Linked DNA regions of Kluyveromyces lactis. The protein of the gene in region 1 purifies or fractionates together with the protein of each later gene. This does not show direct contact. Links are inferred from orthologs where the notes say so. Each region holds a gene or a part of one and is shown in the gene's direction. Other genes may lie near its edges.

Region 1 (3,983 bases):
TTGTTAGTCTTGTTCAGAGTTTCTATAGTCGCCTGGTATTCATCTCTATCATTTTCATATTTCGATTTCAAGAACTTGTATGCAAGTTGTAAATCCGTGATAGCCGTTTGTAGGTCCTGTTGTTTTGAGATATCGTTAAGTTCCAATTCTGAGGTAGAAAGGGGCGCGTGTTGCAAAGAACTGCTTGAATTCTGTGGGTATGCATCCAACAGGATGTCGATGTTTTTCTTACAAAATGAGATTGGATCATGTACACCCTCCTCGTTGGAAGAATTGTCTATTGATGCCAAATTGATACCTTTAGAAATGGAGCTAGAGATCAGGTAGGAGGTGATCTGTTCCACTTTCCCCTCATCCTCATCAGTGCTTTTATTGGCTAAAGATTTATCATTCTCTAGTACCAATTGGACTAATTCTTTCAACGTGTCAACGTCTACCGAGCCAAGCTTTTGTAAGAAAGTAGTTCCCTTAGTACTTAGAGAACCGTTAGCAGATTCATTAATCAAGTACAATGCAAATTCCAATTTCAATTGGGAATCCAAATCCATTGGAAGCTCATCCCACTCCGAATTTTGTCTATTGGATATCAGGGAATTCGTACTCGTAGTTTGCAAATATTCATTCAACTGTTCATTGGGGTACTTCCCATGCAATTTCTCTACAAAAGAGGTATTGTACTCGTACCATTGGTCCAGGTTATTACGAAGCATTCTATCAAGGGGCTAGCTGCGATCAGTATCTAGCTTGGTTTGGTAGCAACTTACATTTTAACATTCCGTTCATCTATCCAGACGCGTTGATTCCGATCAATGCCTTTCTCAATTACCACGCACGGGACATACATGCAGTTTCCGGGTAATACAAGCACATTATCAACCACGTGATATTTGACATCACCACGCACGAATACCGCCATTCCGATGTCTGGGTGTCATCTTCCGAAGGCTTACATAAGCACACCTCATTACCCGCATGTCACGTTAAATTATCGTTTTTGTGGCCGAAACACAAAAAAGGAAGCAAACTGATAAAAAGAAACGTGAAAAAAGAGTACAGGCAAAAAAAAAGAAACAATGGAAGGAGAAGAAGAAGAAGAAGCAAGATTCTGAACAATTCCCATATACAACACAGGCAAGCATTCCACACTACGCTATATACTGTAGACATACCGGAAAGCGCAGACCGACAAGTTGACTTTTCAGGCTAACCGAAAAATGTAATTGTTGTTACCTCTTTTGATACTTGATACTTTTATTTCTCTTGATACTTGCATTTTGTCTATCTCATCGAATTTTGGAAAATAAGAAAGTAAAGAAGCTTTTAAGCCTATATTGTTAATGATGACTATTCAGTTTACCTTTGTTAGATTAGTTTAAGGTAGGTTTTTGTTGGATTTGATCCAAACTCATCACTATAGAATAATATCGTCAGTTCTTGAACAGGGAATCACTTTTTTTTATCTTTTATACTTCCAGTTGGTTTTAACTTTAACGTCGTCTGAGCATCTGTCAATGATGAAACTCGATGAGATTATAGAGACTCTAAGGCAGGGGAAACATGTTGACGAGGATTCGATATACTCGCTGTGTGTCATGGCTCAAGAACTTCTTATGAATGAGTCTAACGTGACACATGTGGATACGCCAGTCACAATTTGTGGAGATATTCATGGCCAATTGCATGATTTGTTGACTCTCTTTGCTAAGAGTGGAGGCATTGAAAAGAATAGATACATCTTTTTGGGAGATTTCGTGGATAGAGGGTTCTATTCGTTAGAGAGTTTCCTTCTTTTGGTATGTTATAAATTAAGGTATCCAGATAGAATTGTGTTGATACGAGGAAATCATGAAACAAGACAGATTACGAAGGTTTATGGGTTTTACGACGAAGTGGTAAGGAAATATGGTAACAGTAACGTATGGAGATACTGTTGCGAAGTATTCGACTATTTGCCCTTGGGTGCCATTGTAAACAACAAGGTTTTCTGTGTTCATGGTGGATTATCGCCGGACGTTTTATCAATCAACGAAATACGAACCATCGATAGGAAAAAGGAGGTACCGCATGAAGGTGCTATGTGTGATTTATTGTGGTCGGATCCAGAGGATGTGGATACTTGGTCTCTTTCCCCGCGTGGTGCAGGTTTCCTATTTGGCCAAAACGAAGTAGATAAATTTTTACACACAAATAGTGTCGAATTAATCGCTAGAGCTCATCAATTGGTCATGGAAGGTTATAAAGAGATGTTCGATGGGGGATTAGTCACGGTATGGTCAGCACCAAACTACTGTTATCGTTGTGGGAATGTGGCTGCTGTGCTGCGCATCGATGACGATATGACGAAGGATTACACCATTTTTGAAGCTGTTCAGGCGAGGGATAGTGGAGGTAATGTCATTCTCCCTACGAAAAAACCTCAAATGGACTACTTCTTGTAACTTATTACCATTATTATTTGCATTTTTCTCTCTCTCTTCTCGATTTGCTGACCGATTCCCGTGTTATTGGTTCAGTCTTCTTTTCTTTCAGCATTATTTAACAGCATGGTATATCACCCTGATCCTCATTATCAACCGACCATCCTCCCAGCATAGCTCAACCTACAGTTGTTGCTTTGTATTAATATTACCTCTCTTCTTAATCTCATTCAACACAGTGATATACCACATTTCAATAAAAGTATCCCAATAGGTATGTAACAGTAAACTATTTCAATAATTGTACGATTGAATTATATGATTCATTTGATAGCATACATATTATACTGTAATATGGAATTTCTGGTTGTATTCCATTCGAGCAGAACATTTATGACGATACTTTTACCTTCCCTTCAATTTTGGATTTAACGGTAATATTTTGATATTTGATCTTCAATTAAGTATCTCAACCTTAAACGGAGTCTTACAAAAAGTCAAATAGACGTTTAGATGCAAGGGAACAGCTGACCGGGCAATATTCATACACCATGTGGAGATATAATCTAGCACTTACCAGACGAATTTTCAGTTCGCAGCCTGCTGCTCTAGTACGTCAGTATTCTGCTTTCAGAAGGCTTCCTAGAGTGGCAACTCCGGTAAAGGATGTTTCTCGTTTGGGCTTCAATGGCGTGCCAAATATGAACAATGTGACCATCCAGCAGTATGATCCCATTGCAACTACCATTTTAAATGAACCTACCATCATTATTGAGAGACAAATCGAAATGATGAACGTTGTGCTTGGTTTTGAACAGGCTAATAAGTATGCCATCATGGATGTCATGGGGAACAGAATTGGGTACATGCAAGAAAGAGATTTCGGATTCTTTAAAGCTATAACAAGACAAATATACAGACTACATCGTCCGTTCACCGTTGATGTCTTTGACAATTACGGCAACGTTTTAATGACTATTGAAAGACCCTTTTCCTTTATCAATTCACATATTAAGGCTATATTACCCGATGAAAACAGAACCCTTGTTGGTGAATCAGTGCAAAATTGGCATCTGTGGCGTCGTAGATATGAATTGTTTCAAAGAGAATGCGAAAACCCTTCTGAGTTTACTCAGTTTGGTAATATCGATGCACCATTTCTAAGTTTCGAATTCCCAGTTATGGACGAGAACAACAAGATTATTGCTGGTTGTGATAGAAATTGGGTGGGGATAGGAAGAGAACTATTCACTGATACTGGTGTCTATATTGTACGATTCGATTCTCAGCAATCATTTGATGGTGTATACCCGCAAGAGATGTTAAGTGATAAGGTCTTGAACTACGATCAAAGAGCTGTCATGCTTTCTAATGCAGTGTCGATTGATTTCGATTATTTCTCAAGACATTCACGCTACGGAGGTGGACTGTTGTCGTTTGGAACATATGACGAATGAAGGAACTGGATATATCCTCGATTGCTACATGCCAATGAGCATCTGCCGGATGGAATTATTTTTTTGTATATCTTCATTTATTCCTTGTATATATACAAAGTATTAACCT
Region 2 (16,795 bases), on another chromosome or scaffold:
TGCCGCAATTCCACTAGTCACTTTCCGATATACGCCTTTGAAGGAAAACTAATGGACGTTAGATATTAAGAAGCATAGCTTCTCTTGAATCGTTTCGAAATGTCGACTTATTTGTCGAACATTAATTTCAAATTGCATGGCTTAGTGTCTGTTTTCTGATTCGAACAACAGATATAACGAAAAAGTGAAAAAAATGGATAATGGCAGTATCAATGAGGTACAATACGTGCAAAAAGAATGAAGTTAAGATCACAGTTTCAGAGTATTTCTATATGCTCCTTAGATACAGCTAGACGCAGTGTAGTCTGTGGGGTTTTCAAATATAATGGCTGAATTGAAGGAAGAAGAATACGTGCACCAAGTGTACAACGATATTGCTCCGCATTTCTCACAAACCAGATATAAGCCATGGCCAATTGTATCGGAGTTTTTGATGTCTAGAGAGATGGGTTCTATCGGTATTGATGTTGGCTGTGGAAATGGGAAGTACCTTGCTGTGAACCCGAATGTTTTTATTTTAGGTTCAGATAGATCCTCGGGGTTAATTACGTGTGCACATGATATCAATTCACAGTACAATGTTCTAATTGCAGACGGGATCAAGCTACCTCATCGCGATAATACTTTCGATTTCGCTATATCCATTGCGGTGGTGCACCACTGGTCGACCAGAGAAAGAAGAGTTGGAGCCATAAGACATATCATCAGCAAAGTAAGACCCGGAGGAGAAGTTTTGATTTACTGCTGGGCATTGGAACAAGGTGATTCTAGAAGAGGGTATCGAGAGGGTATGGAACAAGACGTTTTAGTACCGTGGGTTTTACAAGATCAGAAGAGGGATACGGAAATTGATGAGAAATCTGGTAAAAAGGGCAAAATACAAGTCCCCAAGCCAGATTTATCCACCGTTCCTAAACATGAAAGATCTGAATTCTTGAACAAATGGAAACTAGAACAGGAAGCTCTCAGGCTAAAAAGAGAGCAGGAAATAGAGGAAGAGCGCAAGAAGCTCGAAAAGGAGACAAAATCCAACACGAAGTATCGTTACTACCATCTATATCGCGAGGGGGAACTAGAAGAGGATTGCCAAATGGCCGGAGGAATAATAGTTGGACAAGGTTACGAAAAGGATAATTGGTACGTAGTTGCTAGAAAGCCTGGCAACCCTTAACGATTGCTAATATAATATATAAACAGCATAAATATTACATCGAAATATACTTTTATAGACAACAGCTAGTACTCATTGCAATTTCTTTGTTTGGTTTATTAGTGTTTCTTACGATATTCTGACGGTGCACTAAATTTCTGTTTCGTTCTCATGAACATTTAACGAAAAAACGGGAAACTTTAACAGGCAGGCCAACTTAACCAGAAAAGTGCAGGAGGATATAGATTCGAGTTTACTGATAAGCTACATTAACTATACTGCATATATTAGCTGTGAATGTATAAAATTGACAACCCAGTATTTTTGGCATTGAGATCCGAATTAAAGTATATCTGCTTGAGCGTACTGTGATTTGTAACGAACCTTAAAATGCCAGTAATTGAACATAATGATCAACGATTTGAACTCTCCCACTCAGAAGAGCAAAAGCTCAACGAGTTTCAAATGATAACGTCTTTCCCCACTGATGAATTGCCTAATGTTATAAAGCTTCTACGCAATCATTCTTGGCAATTGGAACACGCTTTGGGTAGATATTTCGACGACAATTGGAAAGAAAATCTAGACTTTGCACCACAGCCTACACCCGCTCAAAACACAATTCCTGTCCAACAATCACAATCTGATGAGCGCCAGATCCTGGAAGATACGCGTTCAGAATTACCAATATCACTGAGAATCCCAAACATTTTGGAGAACCCGTTTGGAATGGTACCTAAACTACCCTTTATTCACAGATTACCATACAATTATAAAGAAAAATTCCAAATCATCGGATTAAACGGACAGCCAAATGCTACTGATGTATACTCGCGCAATTCTGTATTACTTGCCGTCTTATTTTTGCCGAATTTAATAGTTAGGCTTAGCGTGCATATGTTTTCATGGCTTGGCATTCTAATCTCGTATGCACTAGGTCAGAATATGGCAAAATCAAAGGCTTCATATAATTGGGTAATCCCGCAGAAACCTCAGGTGGACAGAAAACCTGAAGATACATTTGCGGATATAAGGGAAACATGTGGTGAAAATGCTGAAGAACTTTTGTCTTTATGCTCTATGAAGAGCTACAATGAAATATTTGATGAATGCGAATCGAAATACAAGTTTATGCTTTTGTTATTCTTGGGACCAATAACTGGAGAAGAAGAAAAAATTTGTCATAGCTCGAAAACATTCTTAACGCACTTTTTATCCCATCCATCAACTATTGCACTTTTCAAAACTCATAGCGACAACTTGGAAATATACATCAGGACAGTCCAAGATCCTGAATGTTGGGCACTGGCAAAACAACTAAAATTAAAATACACGTTAGAATGTCTACTTGTGGCTAACGTGCACAATCGTTTGAATTCTACTTCCGGTTCAAGGAAAATGTCTGTTCTTTCTGCTTTGAAGGTTAAATCGCTTGCCCGATTCCAAGATTCTTTCAAAAGCGCAATTCGTCGCTACTCTCCTGAACTGATAGCGAGCCAAACGGAAATGCAAGAGCTAGAAATGGTGAGAAAAATGAAGGAAATGCAGGATGAAGCATACCACGAATCATTAAAACTAGATACCGAAAAGCAGTTAGAACGTGAAAGGCAAGAAGAAAGTTTAAAACAGAAACTAATTTCTGAAGCGCAACAGAAAGAAATCTTGAAAATAAAGGACCTATTCTATCAATTTACTATGCTGTTACACTCTTTAAAATCTGGCAGCAATGCTGAGGTCAAGCCAACAGAAAAAATTTCCAACATTCAATTCAGAACCTCTGATGGTAAACGAATTGTTAAAAAGTTCTCAGGGAGTAACACTTTACGCGATGTTTACATCGACATAGCAGCTCATTTATATTTAACATCATCTGACCAATATATTGAAGGAAATAATTTGGATACAATCAGCGAAATATTGATAAATATCAGCGAAAACCCTGAATACGCTACCGCTATTGAAAGCACCAACATTGCTGGAGAACTATTGGAATCCAAGACGGAAAATCAACTAAAAGCAATATTAGAAAAGGGTATTTCCGAACTCAGATCTAAGACCGAACTAGAGGATATTAGCTTTGACTTTGAGTTGGTTTCGCCTTTCCCTAGAAAACAAACTCCAAATGATCCATCCATTCAATTGAAAACAAGGTCAGAACTATGGCCAAACGGGAGTCTCTTGATAGAATCATTGGACAATGATGACAGCTCCGAAGGAGAGGATGAGAGTGATGACGCTGGTCATTCAACATAACGATATAAAATTAAATAGTCAAGTGACTAGGAGTCGATGTTAGAGCATAACAACAGTTTTATCAATAAGATTTGTTTAAGGTGGGTACAAGTTTGATCCGACAAACCGCCCAGTTTGTAAAGAATCAAATTCGTACACATCAGGATAACGTCAAGGCCTTCGTAGGCCTCCTACAAGTTCAAGACAATTCTACATTACCATTTTCTTGAAGAGACACAAAATAATGGTGGTTGATGCACTGTAATGTCGGCAATGCAAGATTAAGAATCACAAATTGGAAAATGGACTAAGACAAAATCCACTGATCGGATGCAAGAAACAATAAGTTGTTGATTCGTTTAAAAGCGCAGTCTTTGACGCTGACATATATGTGCCATTTGTAACAATTCTGAGCTGGAGTTAAGGTTGATTTTCAAGCACAGTTACAAAACACAACCAATTTCCCTCGCGAAATTGATTTCCATGATCATCACTACTTCTTCCTTACTCTGGAAGACCTCTTTTCTAGTCGCAAAGATAAATAATAAAACAATACAATAATAATCCACTATAAAAACATAATCATTTTTTCCTTCTCCTCACGATCCTTGATGTTCTGTTCGGATCCACAAGTAAAAAGATTTTTTCCTGATGATGGGAGGTTTTTCCTATACTAATATTTAATTTTTTTTTTTATTCTCAATCCATCAAGGTTGATACCTTCAATTCATTCCCAACAATTGTGAGTAAATTCAAATTCCAAGTAAAGTTCAGAGGTTTCTTGGTGTAACGACAAAGTATGAAAACAACGGGCGAAAACAAGAGCTTATAACTCCCTAAGATAGTAAGCATAATAATTCTGTTAAAAGTGACAAAAGAAAGCTAATACCAACTCCGATGATAATGGTAGGGACACACGGTTTGATGCTTGAAGTAATTTCACAACATTCTTAGATGAAAGCTATTTGTGCACTCCAGAAATCCTCTAATCTCTAACTGGAGATCTTTCACGCGCTTGGTAGCCTTCTCCGCTGCCTCTTTGGTAGTCTTCTCTTGGTGCGTAGTCTCTGTTACCGTAACCGCCACGGCCACCGTAACCACCGCCACGACCACCAAAGTCACCGTAACCGCCTCTTGGACCACCGTAGCCACCACGGCCACCACGGAAACCGCCTCTTGGACCACCGAAGCCACCGCGACCGCCAAAGCCACCTCTTGGACCGCCAAAGCCACCGCGACCGCCGAAACCGCCACGGCCACCAAAGCCACCTCTTGGACCACCGAAGCCTCCACGGCCGCCGAAACCACCGCGACCGCCGAAACCACCACGGCCACCAAAGCCACCGCGACCGAAACCGCCACGGCCTCTAAAACCACCACGACCACGAGAGGATCTGATTGGTGGTGGGTTTTCATCTTTTTCAACAGCCAAAACTGAACCACGGAATTCGATGTTGTTCAACTTTTCAATGGCTTCCTGCAGGATCTCTTCGGTTGGGAATTCAAGAGCACCAGTACCGTCAAAGTCTCTGGTGTTGACACTGGAGAAAGTAGTTTCTAACTGGTTATCTCTGGCCAAATCCTTCAATTCTTGCCAAGCACAGCCTTCTGGCAAGTTTCTGATAATGACTCTGAATCTTGGCTTTAACTTCTTGGAAAATACAACTTCCAATGGGTAGTCGGCAAACATTTTACCGGCAACGTTTTGAATAGCTTGGGAAGCAGACTCAGCTTCTTCAAACTCAACAAAAGCGAACCCATTTAAAATCTTTATTTCCTTCAAAGCACCGAAAGGTTCGAAAATTTCCTTCATTTCAGCATCAGTGACATCTGGAGGGAAAGGCTTCACAAATAGTCTGGTATCAGAAAGCTCTTCATCGTCATCAACTCTATTATTGAAATTTTCATAACTTTGAGGTGGTGGAGCAGTTTCATATGGCTTTTCATATGGCTTTTCATATGGCTTTTCATAGGTTTCTTCTTCGACAGCTGGAGGAGGAGGAACGTCAGACATCTTGATATTTCGCGAGTAAGTGTTCTTGGTTGTACCTTGAGCAAAAGAAGTGAAACACTAATATCTTAGTCAAAAACAATACTGCAACGCCACTCAACGATGATGGAGTAGAATTTTTTTTCCAAAAACCAGGTTTTAAATATGTCTTTATATATAGGAGAAAGTGAAAATTTTAAATGAACATCGGGAAAAGAAAAGACAGAAGAGAATAGTGTCAAACAAGGTTTGGTAGGTAGGGTAAAACTCTGGAATCCTCGGTACAAGTCTTTTTAGAATGAGTGCTGATAAGTATCGCATGCACAGATATAAGCCCTCATACAAGTCATACTCCTACCAAATACGATCTGAGAGGCTATATTGATCAAATGCTCTCATTGCTACTTGTATTTACCATTGTTATACAGAAAGGTAAGAGTGACACATGTATCACGTGACTTGAACTTCAGTTTTTCATTTTTTTAACTCGTCAGAAGTGAGACCGTAGTTCATAGCTGTTTTTCTTCGATAGTATGGAATCCTGGAGGAAAGATACTAGAGCATGCCAAAGGTCTCTTAACATATTGATAAGTCAATTTAGCGAATTTATCTCAGAGGCAAGAAACGAAAAGCCAAGCGAACTAGCAGTTTAGAGGGGATATTTCCGATATTTTGACCGTTCGTTTTCTCTTTGCATTTCTTTTATCTATTTATTCGCAATAAATCGTTATAGAATCGTTGACGACAGTAATCATTGATTAATATACCAAGATCGAAAAAACTGGGTTTGAAATATAAGCGAAGGAATATTGAATCTAAATCCAGGTGGAGAATTCTTGCATTATAAAATACCATGTTTCAAATTCGTAACTATGCCACAAAATATGCACAGTCTCGGGCGCTGAGGAAGTACCCAGTAGGTGGCGTTTTTCACGGATATGAAGTGAAACGATTACTTCCTGTCCCTGAACTAAAGCTAACAGCCGTGGATTTATTGCATAACCAAACCGGTTCACAACATTTACATATTGATAGAGATGATAACAACAACGTGTTCAGTATCGGATTCAAAACCAATCCCCCGGATTCAACTGGTGTGCCACATATTTTGGAACACACAACTCTTTGCGGTTCTCATAAGTATCCTGTTCGCGATCCGTTCTTCAAGATGTTAAACAGATCGTTGGCAAACTTCATGAACGCTATGACTGGTCATGACTATACTTTTTACCCGTTTGCTACCACTAATGAGACGGATTTTGCTAATCTAAGAGACGTTTACCTTGATGCAACTCTAAATCCATTGTTGAATCAGCAAGATTTCCTACAAGAAGGTTGGAGGCTTGAACACACTAAGGTTGATGATCCAAACAGCGATATAGGTTTCAAAGGTGTTGTATACAATGAAATGAAGGGTCAAGTATCCAATGCTAACTATTATTTCTGGATTAAGTTTCAAGAAAGCTATTATCCATCCTTGAATAACTCTGGTGGTGACCCAACTAAAATGACTGATCTTCAATATGAAGATTTAATCAGTTTCCACAGAAATAATTACCATCCTTCTAATGCTAAGACGTTTACATACGGGAACTTCGATTTGAACAATACCTTACAGAGGTTGAATAAAGAATATCAAGGTTATGGTAGAAGGGGTTCTAAGAAGAGGGAACTATTACCAATCCAAATGAAAGAAGATGTTTCTGTAGAAACCGAAGGACAGGTTGATCCTATGTTACCACCGGATAAACAGATCAAGACCTCTGTGACTTGGATTTGTGGTAAACCTGAAGACACGTACCAAACATTTCTATTGAAGATCTTGGGTAATTTATTATTAGACGGACATTCCTCTCCTTTCTATCAAAAACTAATTGAAAGTGGGCTGGCGTACGACTTTTCAGTTAACACTGGTGTAGAGTCGCAGACTGCTGCAAACTTTATCACTATTGGTGTTCAAGGATGTGATGAAGTGGATTCGATATATGAAGTTATTAACAAAGTATGGGAAGAAGTATTACAGAATCCGTTTGAGGAGTCTAGGATCCAAGCAATCATTCAACAATTAGAGTTATCTAAGAAAGACCAAAGGGCAGATTTCGGTTTACAATTACTGTACTCGGTTTTACCAGGATGGGTTAACAAGACTGATCCATTTGATTCTTTATTGTTCGATGAGACACTAGAAAGATTCCAAGAAGATTGGGCCACTAAGGGTGATAATTTATTCAAAGACTTAATCAAAGAATTCGTGATTTCAAAACCTGTATTCAAATTCACCATGAAGGGCTCAGAAACGTTCTCTCAGAAACTTGATGCTGAGGAACAAGAACGTTTGGAGAGAAAGTTAAAGCTCCTTGACGAAGAAGACAAAAAGGTCATTTTCGAACGTGGTAAACAATTGCAAGAACTACAGGACCTCAAAGAGGATTTGAGTTGCCTTCCTTCATTGCAAATTAGTGCAATTCCAAGAGTTTCAAAGACATACCCATTGTTAGAGAAGGATAATGTTTTAAATCGTATTACCGATACCAATGGTATTACATACGTCAGAGGTAAGCGTTTACTAAACCACCATATTCCAAGAGAACTTTATCCTTTCCTACCATTATACGCAGACTCATTGACGAACCTTGGTACTTCAACTGAAGAGTTTTCCACCATTGAAGAACAAATCAAATTGCACACTGGCGGTGTCTCAACTCGCGTATCTGTAAATCCAGATGCACAGACTGGTAAGCCTATGCTGCTATTCCAAGTTGATGGATGGGCTTTGAACAGCAAAACCGATCACATCTTCAAGTTTTGGAAGAAACTTTTATGTGAAACTGATTTCCATAAGCACAAAGAAAAGCTAAAGGTCTTAATAAGATCATTAGCATCTTCAAACACAGCGTCTGTGGCTGAGACTGGTCATGCTTTTGCCCGGAACTTCGGTGCTGCTCATTTAAGTGTAACTAAAGCCATCAACGAAAGTTTAAACGGTATCGAACAGTTACAGTTAATCAATAAGTTATCTCAATGTTTGGATGATGAAGCACTATTTGAGAAAGAAGTGGTTTCAAAATTGGTTGAGCTTCAATCATATATAAATGGCAGTTCAGACATGAAATTCATGATCACCAGTGATTCTCAAGTTCAAATCGATGCAGTTCACCAACAAATCACGGGCTTTTTGAGCTCCTTACCCAAGGATTCAAAACCATGTGACTTCTACTCTGAGAATTACTCAATGTTGGAAAACCCAGGTAAACCAACCCTACTCCAGTTCCCATTTCAGGTTCATTACACCGCCAAGTGTTACCCAGGCGTTTCCTATACCCATCCTGATGGCGCTAAGCTACAAATCCTTTCTAACATGTTGACACACAAATATTTGCACCGTGAAATTCGTGAAAAAGGTGGCGCATATGGTGGTGGTGCTACTTACAGCGCTTTGGATGGTACTTTCAGTTTCTATTCTTACAGGGATCCTCACGCTTTAAATTCTTTGTCCACATTCGATAGCGTTCCAGAATTCATATTGAACAAGTCTTCGTGGGGTGAACCAGACTTGAATGAAGCGAAATTGAGTGTCTTCCAACAAGTAGACTCCCCAATGAGCGCCAAAAACGAAGGTACCATTTTATTCCATTACGACGTAACAGACGAAATGAAACAACGTCGTAGAGAGCAACTTTTAGACGTCAACTTGAATGATATACATCAAGTGGCAGAGGAATACCTCAAGCAAGATAAATCCATTGCCTCCATAGTTGGTCCGGAAATCCCAAATTTTGATGCCTTAGTTCAAACCGTGTAACGGGAAGCTCTTTCTTGTACATAATACAACCACATTATATATATATATATGTATTTATAACTCACAATACCCAATTACTAATTGTGCGTCGCAGTGCCTAGACGTACTTGCACACGGCAGAGTTATATCCCTTGTTCCTTGATAAAACTTAACATCTGCCAATATCGATCACGTGTAATCATCATAAAAAACGCGTCTTTTACGTATGGTTGGTTCTATATTTGTTTGGTTTCCAAAGATCAAAACTTCGAATTTTAACACCTTTATTGCATGGTTGATTTTCACGACAGTTCAGATCGCGAAGAATATAATAAAATATATAGGTTTCGGTTTGAAATTTAAAAAAAAAAAAAACGTATATCTAATTCTAACTGAATTCAAAAAGATACGTTGCTACGTTTGTTTCCTAATTGATTCTATCAGGAACCTCATCCGTGTTAACACTTGTCAAGGAGTGAAGCAAAGAGACAAACCATATATATACAGGCCAAAAGATGAAGAGCTTTGCTGCTTGCGTGCTTCTACTATGTGCTTTGTTCTTTGAACAAGTATTTGCTGTACGTTTCGACATTCCAGCCTCTACGAAACCGGAACAAGTCTGTATTCGTGATTTTGTCAGTGAGGGTCAATTAGTGCTCATTGATATTGAGACTGATGGTTCTGTTGGTGATGGTCAACAGTTGAATCTATACGTTCGTGACAGTAACGGTAACGAATACCGTAGGAATAGAGACATTGCTGGAGAAGTACGTGTTGTATTTACTGCTCCACAATCCACCTCATTTGATGTTTGTTTCGAGAATGTGGCGCAAGTTAACGGTAGATCTTTGAGCCGTTCCATTGAATTGGATATTGAATCCGGATCCGAGGCTCGTGATTGGAACAAGATTCAAGCCAGTGAAAAATTGAAACCGGTGGAAGTTGAACTACGTAGGATTGAAGAATTGACTGACGAAATTGTTGATGAATTCAACTACTTGAAGGGGAGAGAAGAAAGACTAAGAGACACCAACGAGTCCACCAACAGAAGAGTTAGAAACTTTTCTATCGCTGTCATCGTTGTTTTGGTCGCTTTGGGTGCATGGCAAGTAAACTACATGAAGAACTTCTTTAGAGCTAAGCACATTATTTAGAATGTTCGAATAGTTTCAATGCCTTGAATCTCAATACGATCTTCAAATATTGAATTGAAGAAACATACATCATATGGTGAGCCTTTTATACGTGTACAGTATCTATATATGGAAAATGGCATAATTTCTAAATCGGACGAGTAGAGGGGGAAAGGGATTATATTATGCCTAGACGGGTAGGTCTTTGTTTTTGCTAGAATTCTATGTTGATATGGCCACCAGTTACATTTATAAGTTTTGTACTAAGTTACTAGTGATATTCTTCCAAATGTTCCAAAGATTGACGTGTTTTTTAGGAAGTGAATTATTTAGTGGATTGCAATGATGCTAGTATCTTAATAAACCCATTTTACCAAGTAATTTGGCAAAGTCTAGGTAAGTGACAAATACCCTCTCGCCGTTCGTAGCCCAACTTACCATTGACAGGATAATATGTTGATCCATATCCACTTGAACAGCAGCCTTCTGGACATCTTTAACACTTATCACGTGCTTCCTTAGTGCAACCTTAGGGAACTGTTGCAATCTACCGGTATATTTTAATAGTAGTTCCCATTGTTTATCTATTATACTCTCGTTGTCCATGAAGATCAAGAGTCGATAAGTGACATCCAAGAGTTTTTCGAAATCTATGACGTCAATTCCATCCAAGCATAAGTCCTTGAATTCTAATAATCCGTACCATGATTTACTGATTTGTAATTCCGTATAAAAACTAGAAATATCAGCCCACTTGAATTCACCTTCTTCGGTGAAGCTTAAATATATCGATAGGACTTCATCTTCAATCTCGGTGGGCATTCTGGCCTCATTCCATCTGGTAATTGTGTCATAACTGACATCATTCTTTTTCCGCATAACTACATTATCTGGTCAGCAATGACTCATCGGTTAATATTGTCCTTAACGTAGCCAGAGCTGATGTTATATATTAAAGACTACATAAGGTACTAGCTGCCCGTTCGTTATGAAGTGATGCAGACTGATTCATCGGCTACTTAAGTACTTTTGAAATACTTAGGCGAGAGTTACCCTCTATTTGTGATCCTTGAAAAATTTCAATCTAAACTTCCCAATTTTCAATACAAAAATGGTAGTCCACGCTAAGTTGTAATGATGATCAGTATGCATTACAGTTCGCATTCACGATACAAAGCAACAGTCAGTAAGACGTCATGAGCGGTACTGCTGAGGAATCCGATAAAGCAGAGGCTGTTTCTGTACCTGAAACAGTTTCTGGGTCAGTTGAGAGTCAAGATAAGGAGCATAACTCTACTTCATCTTCGTCTGATTCTACAGATGTGGTTGGAGGCAAGAAAAGAACTATCGATGAAGTTGATGGGAGTTCTGAAAACAACTCTGCATCTGTCGATCAGTTAAAGGACGCTCCTACTGATTCTAAACCAAAGACAGAGGCTACTGAAGATAGTCCAATTAGGGGAAATCAAGGGAACAATCAAGAAAACAGTCAAGAAAACAAAGACGATGAAGATGATGAAGATGACAATGACGACGATGACAATGACGATGACGATGACGAAGATGAAGATGTCGAATCATATAGGAAGAAGCAACGTCGTGAAAGAAACAGATTCTTGGATATTGAAGCCGAAGTCAGTGAAGACGAAGACGACGAAGAAGATGAAGAAGATTCAGAACTAGTTCGTGAAGGTTTCATTACTCGCGGTGACGAAGAAGACGAAGAGGATCGTGGTGGTAGAGTTGATGACAGACTGCATAGAGAATTAGATCAAAATCTTCAAAAAACTGCGGATGAAGACATGCACAAGATCGCTGAAGACTTCAAGAAACGTTATGGTCGTGACTCTTCCAAAGATTACCGTGTACAAACTCAAGGTGGGTATGTACCTCAGAGGTTTATGTTACCAAGTGTTGATACTGCTATTATTTGGTCCGTTCGTTGTAGACCAGGGAAGGAGAAAGAACTAGTGAGAAAGTTGCTAAATAAGAAGTTTAACTTGGATAAATCTATGGGCTCTAAAAAATTAAAGATTCTGTCCATCTTCCAAAGAGACAATTACACAGGAAGAATCTATATCGAAGCTCCAAAACAATCTGTTATCGAAAAATTTGTCAACGGTGTTCCAGATGTCTATTCTAATCAAAAGCTTTTGATTCCCGTGCAAGAACTACCTTTACTATTAAAGCCTACCAAGTCAGATGAAGTGAGACTTGATGTTGGTTCTTATGTTAGAATTAAAAGGGGTATTTATAAGAATGATTTGGCAGTCATTGATCAAATTAGTCAGAACAACTTAGAAGCTCTATTAAAGATTGTACCCAGATTAGACTACGGTAAAAATGACGAAATCGACCCAGATACAAATCAGAGAAAGGCAAAGAGAGCAACGTTTGCTAGTAGGCCTCCTCCTCAATTATTTAACCCTACTATGGCATTAAGGTTAGACCAAGCCAACTTATTCAAAAGAGATGACAGGCACTTCACTTACAGGAAGGAAGATTATGTTGACGGTTATCTTTTCAAATCTTTTAAGATTCAGTATCTTGATACAAAGAATATCCAACCTACGGTGGAAGAATTATCAAGGTTCGGCAGTAAAGAAGGTGATGTCGATCTAGCAGCTATTGCTCAAACTATGAAAAAAGCTCAAGCTTCTAAAGCTATGTTTCAACCAGGTGACCGTGTTGAAGTGTTGACCGGGGAACAACGTGGATCTAGAGGTGTGGTGACTAGAAGTTCTAAAGACGTCATCAGCGTTAAACTATCGGGCTTTTCAGATAAATCATTAGAGTTCCCAATTGCATCTCTAAGAAAAATTTTCGAACTTGGTGACCATGTCACAGTAATAGCTGGTGAACATGAAGGTAACGCTGGTTTGGTTCTTTTGGTGCAGAACGGTCAAGTCACATTTGTTTCTGACCAAACTAGAGAAAATTTGACAATCTCTGCGAATAACTTGAGTAAATCTATGGATTCTACTCCGACATCAAGCGAGTACGCTCTACATGACATTGTTGAGTTAAGTGCCAAAAACGTGGCATGTGTGATCCAGGCTGGACATGATATTTTCAAGATTATTGACGACTCCGGTAAAGTGGCTACTGTTACTAAAGGCTCAATTCTTGCCAAGATCAATGTAGCAAGAGCGAAAGTAGCTGCTGTCGATGGTAATGGTAGAGAAATAAAAATTGGCGATGTAGTAAGAGAAAAGATCGGTTCCCGTAGAGAGGGACAAGTACTCTACGTTCAAAACCAACATATTTTCATTAGATCGAAAACAATAACGGAAAATGCCGGTGTTTTCGTTGTTAATCCAATGAATGTCGAGGCTGTCGCCTCAAAAGAAAACTTGATGTCGTCAGCATTGGATTTATCTAAAATAAATCCAAATATTGCGTCTAAGATGGGACCACCACAAACTACTCAGCAGACGCGGTTAGTTGGCCGTGACGTCGCTTTGAACAAAACTGTTAGGATACGTTCTGCGGGATACAAGGGGCAGTTGGGTATTGTCAAAGACGTCAATGGAGATAAGGCTACTATTGAATTGCACTCCAAAAATAAGCATATTACAATAGACAAAAGAAAACTTACTTACTTCAGTCATGAAGGTGGTGAAGGTATAACATACGATGAACTTGTTAGTAGACGTGGTAGAACTCCACATACCAGATTGGGCCCAAGCTATGTCAGTGCACCAAGACACATGGCTGCCGGTGGTGCGGTGGCAACGAACACTCCGCAACAACTTCCTGGTGGAATGACTCCTGGTTGGAATGCATTTGATGGCGGTAAAACTCCTGCGGTTGGCCAGAACGGAGGAACTTCATCCTGGGGTGGTGCTTCGACATGGGGCGGACAAGGCCCTGGTGGTGCTTCTGCCTGGGGTGGAGCTGCTGGAAACACTTCCACCTGGGGTGGGCAAGGTGCTACATCAACTTGGGGTGGTGCGTCCACTTGGGGTAATAAATCTAGTTATGGAGGCGCCTCTTCTTGGGCAGCAAGCGGAGAATCAGGAGCAGCTTCTGCCTGGGGCGGTGGCAATAAATCAAGCTATGGAGGTACTTCTACCTGGGGTGGTAACCAGGGAGGTGTCTCTGCCTGGGGTGGCAGTGGTAATAAATCACAACGATCTAAAAACACCGGTGGAAGTTCCACTTGGGGTAACAATCAATCGCAGCATAACTCAGGAGAGAGATCCGCATGGGGCAATGCATCCCAACACAACAATAGCGGCAATAGATCTGCTTGGGGTAATCAGGATGCTAGAGGTGGTGGAAGTACGTGGGGTGGAAATAATTAGAAATAATCATACAAGTTATTGCCTCACGATAATTTACAAACCTATCAATTGTTCATCTTATTATCTCCAAATTACTCCACGCGATGTGGATGTTGTATATATAGTCTTGCCCAAATTAGTCTCAGAAACCAATTAAATAAGTGAATTAAGTAAATGTAATTTAGTTAAAAATTTCGTTTCTTTACTACAAACCGATACTACTATAGAACTCTTAAATCACGTCTATTTCAACGGTAGTTATTGCAGTGTGAGTGTTTTCTATATACATGCAAATGGTGTGGTTAAATTGTTAAATACAATTCATTAACGTCTTGCGGTACGTAAGAAGTCCAATGGTTTCCTCTCTGCAACCTTTCTTTTCTTGGCCTCTTTGAACAAAACATGACGTTTAGCTACAGGGTCGTACCTCACCTGCGTCACTAATGGTGCAGCTCTATTTATCGTGACATGACGGCTCACACCTGTCATAGCAGTTGATATCAGTTTGATAACTGTAGTCTTTGTCTTAGCCTTGGCCATCGTTTTCCTGTTCGTTTGCAGTTTATATATGATATCCTTAGCTCTGTGAAATTCCTTGAATTTGAATTTGAGACAGAGAAGTACGCAGGATAATATTACTTTCTGCCCTTAATACTTTCCGATGATACACCGTCCTATGCAGAAATTGATGAACTCCCACTACTTTCAGTATTGATTGGGTCGGATACATTGCTAAAGAAGAAGTAATGGATAATCAAAATTTTGTCAAATCACTACATACGTTTTGATGAATATGCAATATACATAAAAATGATCCGTACTTCATATCACGTGAAACAGATACATATTCACAAGTCAAGTTAAGTATTCGCATATAGTTACTCTACGCTTTTATCAACAAGAAGGTATTAACTGAATTGATTGGTGTACACAGTACGGTATAATTAAGGTAACTAATTAGTGCTGGAGCTTACGGATCTCTGTTACACCCGTGCAACACGATATACATTACTGATGAAAATTTTGAAAATTTTCCAAAGCTCATCGCATAGAGACAGAGGCAAAATCAGCGAAAGAGAAGAGAAAAAAATGGAAATTCAAATGAGTTCTAAGTTACCTGCTAAAATAAACGTAATGGTAAGGTGACCCTAGAAGGTGCATAGGGTTTCATCCAGCTGTTTGATAGAAGAAAGGAGTATACTGCGCCAAGTGTATCCGATTTACGTGTTTCAATAAAGAACTGAAACAAAAATTTGAGACTATCATCTGTGCGAAGTTTTTTTCTTCAAAGAGAATTAATTGATATCGATCAGATTATCTACAGACCCATAACTTGAAAGGAGGATATTTGACATACCTCAAATCAGAATTGGGCTTCTTAATTGTTGATAGTATAACACGCGTCTAGAAATTAAAGGAATTTTTTCTACAATCCTATTTTTTTAAGGAGATAATACAAAGATTCACAACATGTCAGCTATTCCTGAACCAAGAATCATCGAGAATGACGATGGTTCCAAAACCGTCATCAGTTTCAAAATCCAAGATGGTAAGAAGTACAAGGTTACGCAGAAGGTTAAGGAAATTACTGTCACCGAGAAAGTTAACAAGAACATCGCCTTGAGAAGAAATTGGAAGAAATATGGTGCTGATAAGGGAGCTGCCCCAGGACCAGATATTTCAACCACTCAATTAGGTGAAGAATTAGAGTTAGACTTGTCTCCTAACTGGAAGGAAATGGAAGAAGAAAAGGCAAAGGAGAAGGCTGCTAACTCGACTCAAAAGGTAATTACTTGTAGAATTTGTGGTGGTGCGCATTTCACCATGCATTGTCCGTACAAAGACACTTTGGGAAAGAAACCTACTACATCTGCTGGTTTAGACCCGGCTATCGGTGGTGGAGATATGAGCGCTCAAGGAGGCTCTGGCTCTGGCAGATACGTGCCACCATCCCTACGTGCTGGTGCTCGTGATCCATCTTCTAATGCTTACCAAGACCAAAGAGAACGTGATGATGCAAAGACTATTAGATTGACCCAGGTTAACGAACTTGCAGATGAAGAAGTGCTTAAAAGAGAATTACTCTTCCCATTCGGTGAGATTCCTAGAGTATTCGTCGTCAAGAACCCAGAAACTGGTAGATCCCGTGGTGTTGCTTACGTTACTTTCCAAACTGAAGAAATTGCTGCTCAAGCTTTGAAATTATTGGAAGGCAGAGGTTTC

Evidence for each region.
Region 2: the proteins of PPH3 (region 1) and SPT5 purify together in Saccharomyces cerevisiae (affinity purification with mass spectrometry, with the first as the bait; 3 studies listed by BioGRID). This does not show direct contact. The link is inferred for Kluyveromyces lactis from reciprocal best matches to the Saccharomyces cerevisiae genes PPH3 and SPT5.

The regions. Positions count from the first base shown.
Region 1 is NC_006041.1:888,612-892,594, reverse strand, and holds PPH3 (phosphoprotein phosphatase PP4 catalytic subunit PPH3), read left to right. Parts: upstream 1-1,511; coding exon 1,512-2,438; downstream 2,439-3,983. Other genes in the region: PEA2 (Pea2p), read right to left, coding at 1-710; AIM25 (Aim25p), read left to right, coding at 2,969-3,874. UniProt on the Saccharomyces cerevisiae protein: Forms the histone H2A phosphatase complex in association with the regulatory subunits PSY2 and PSY4, which dephosphorylates H2AS128ph (gamma-H2A) that has been displaced from sites of DNA lesions in the double-stranded DNA break repair process.
Region 2 is NC_006038.1:66,040-82,834, reverse strand, and holds SPT5 (transcription elongation factor SPT5), read left to right. Parts: upstream 1-11,482; coding exon 11,483-14,593; downstream 14,594-16,795. Other genes in the region: TRM9 (tRNA (carboxymethyluridine(34)-5-O)-methyltransferase), read left to right, coding at 326-1,171; UBX2 (Ubx2p), read left to right, coding at 1,541-3,403; mRNA-binding protein NPL3, read right to left, coding at 4,368-5,396; CYM1 (pitrilysin family metalloprotease), read left to right, coding at 6,226-9,174; ERV25 (Erv25p), read left to right, coding at 9,669-10,307; RAD33 (Rad33p), read right to left, coding at 10,635-11,165; MRPL39 (mitochondrial 54S ribosomal protein bL33m), read right to left, coding at 14,897-15,112; TIF35 (translation initiation factor eIF3 core subunit g), read left to right, coding at 16,043-16,795. UniProt on the Saccharomyces cerevisiae protein: The SPT4-SPT5 complex mediates both activation and inhibition of transcription elongation, and plays a role in pre-mRNA processing.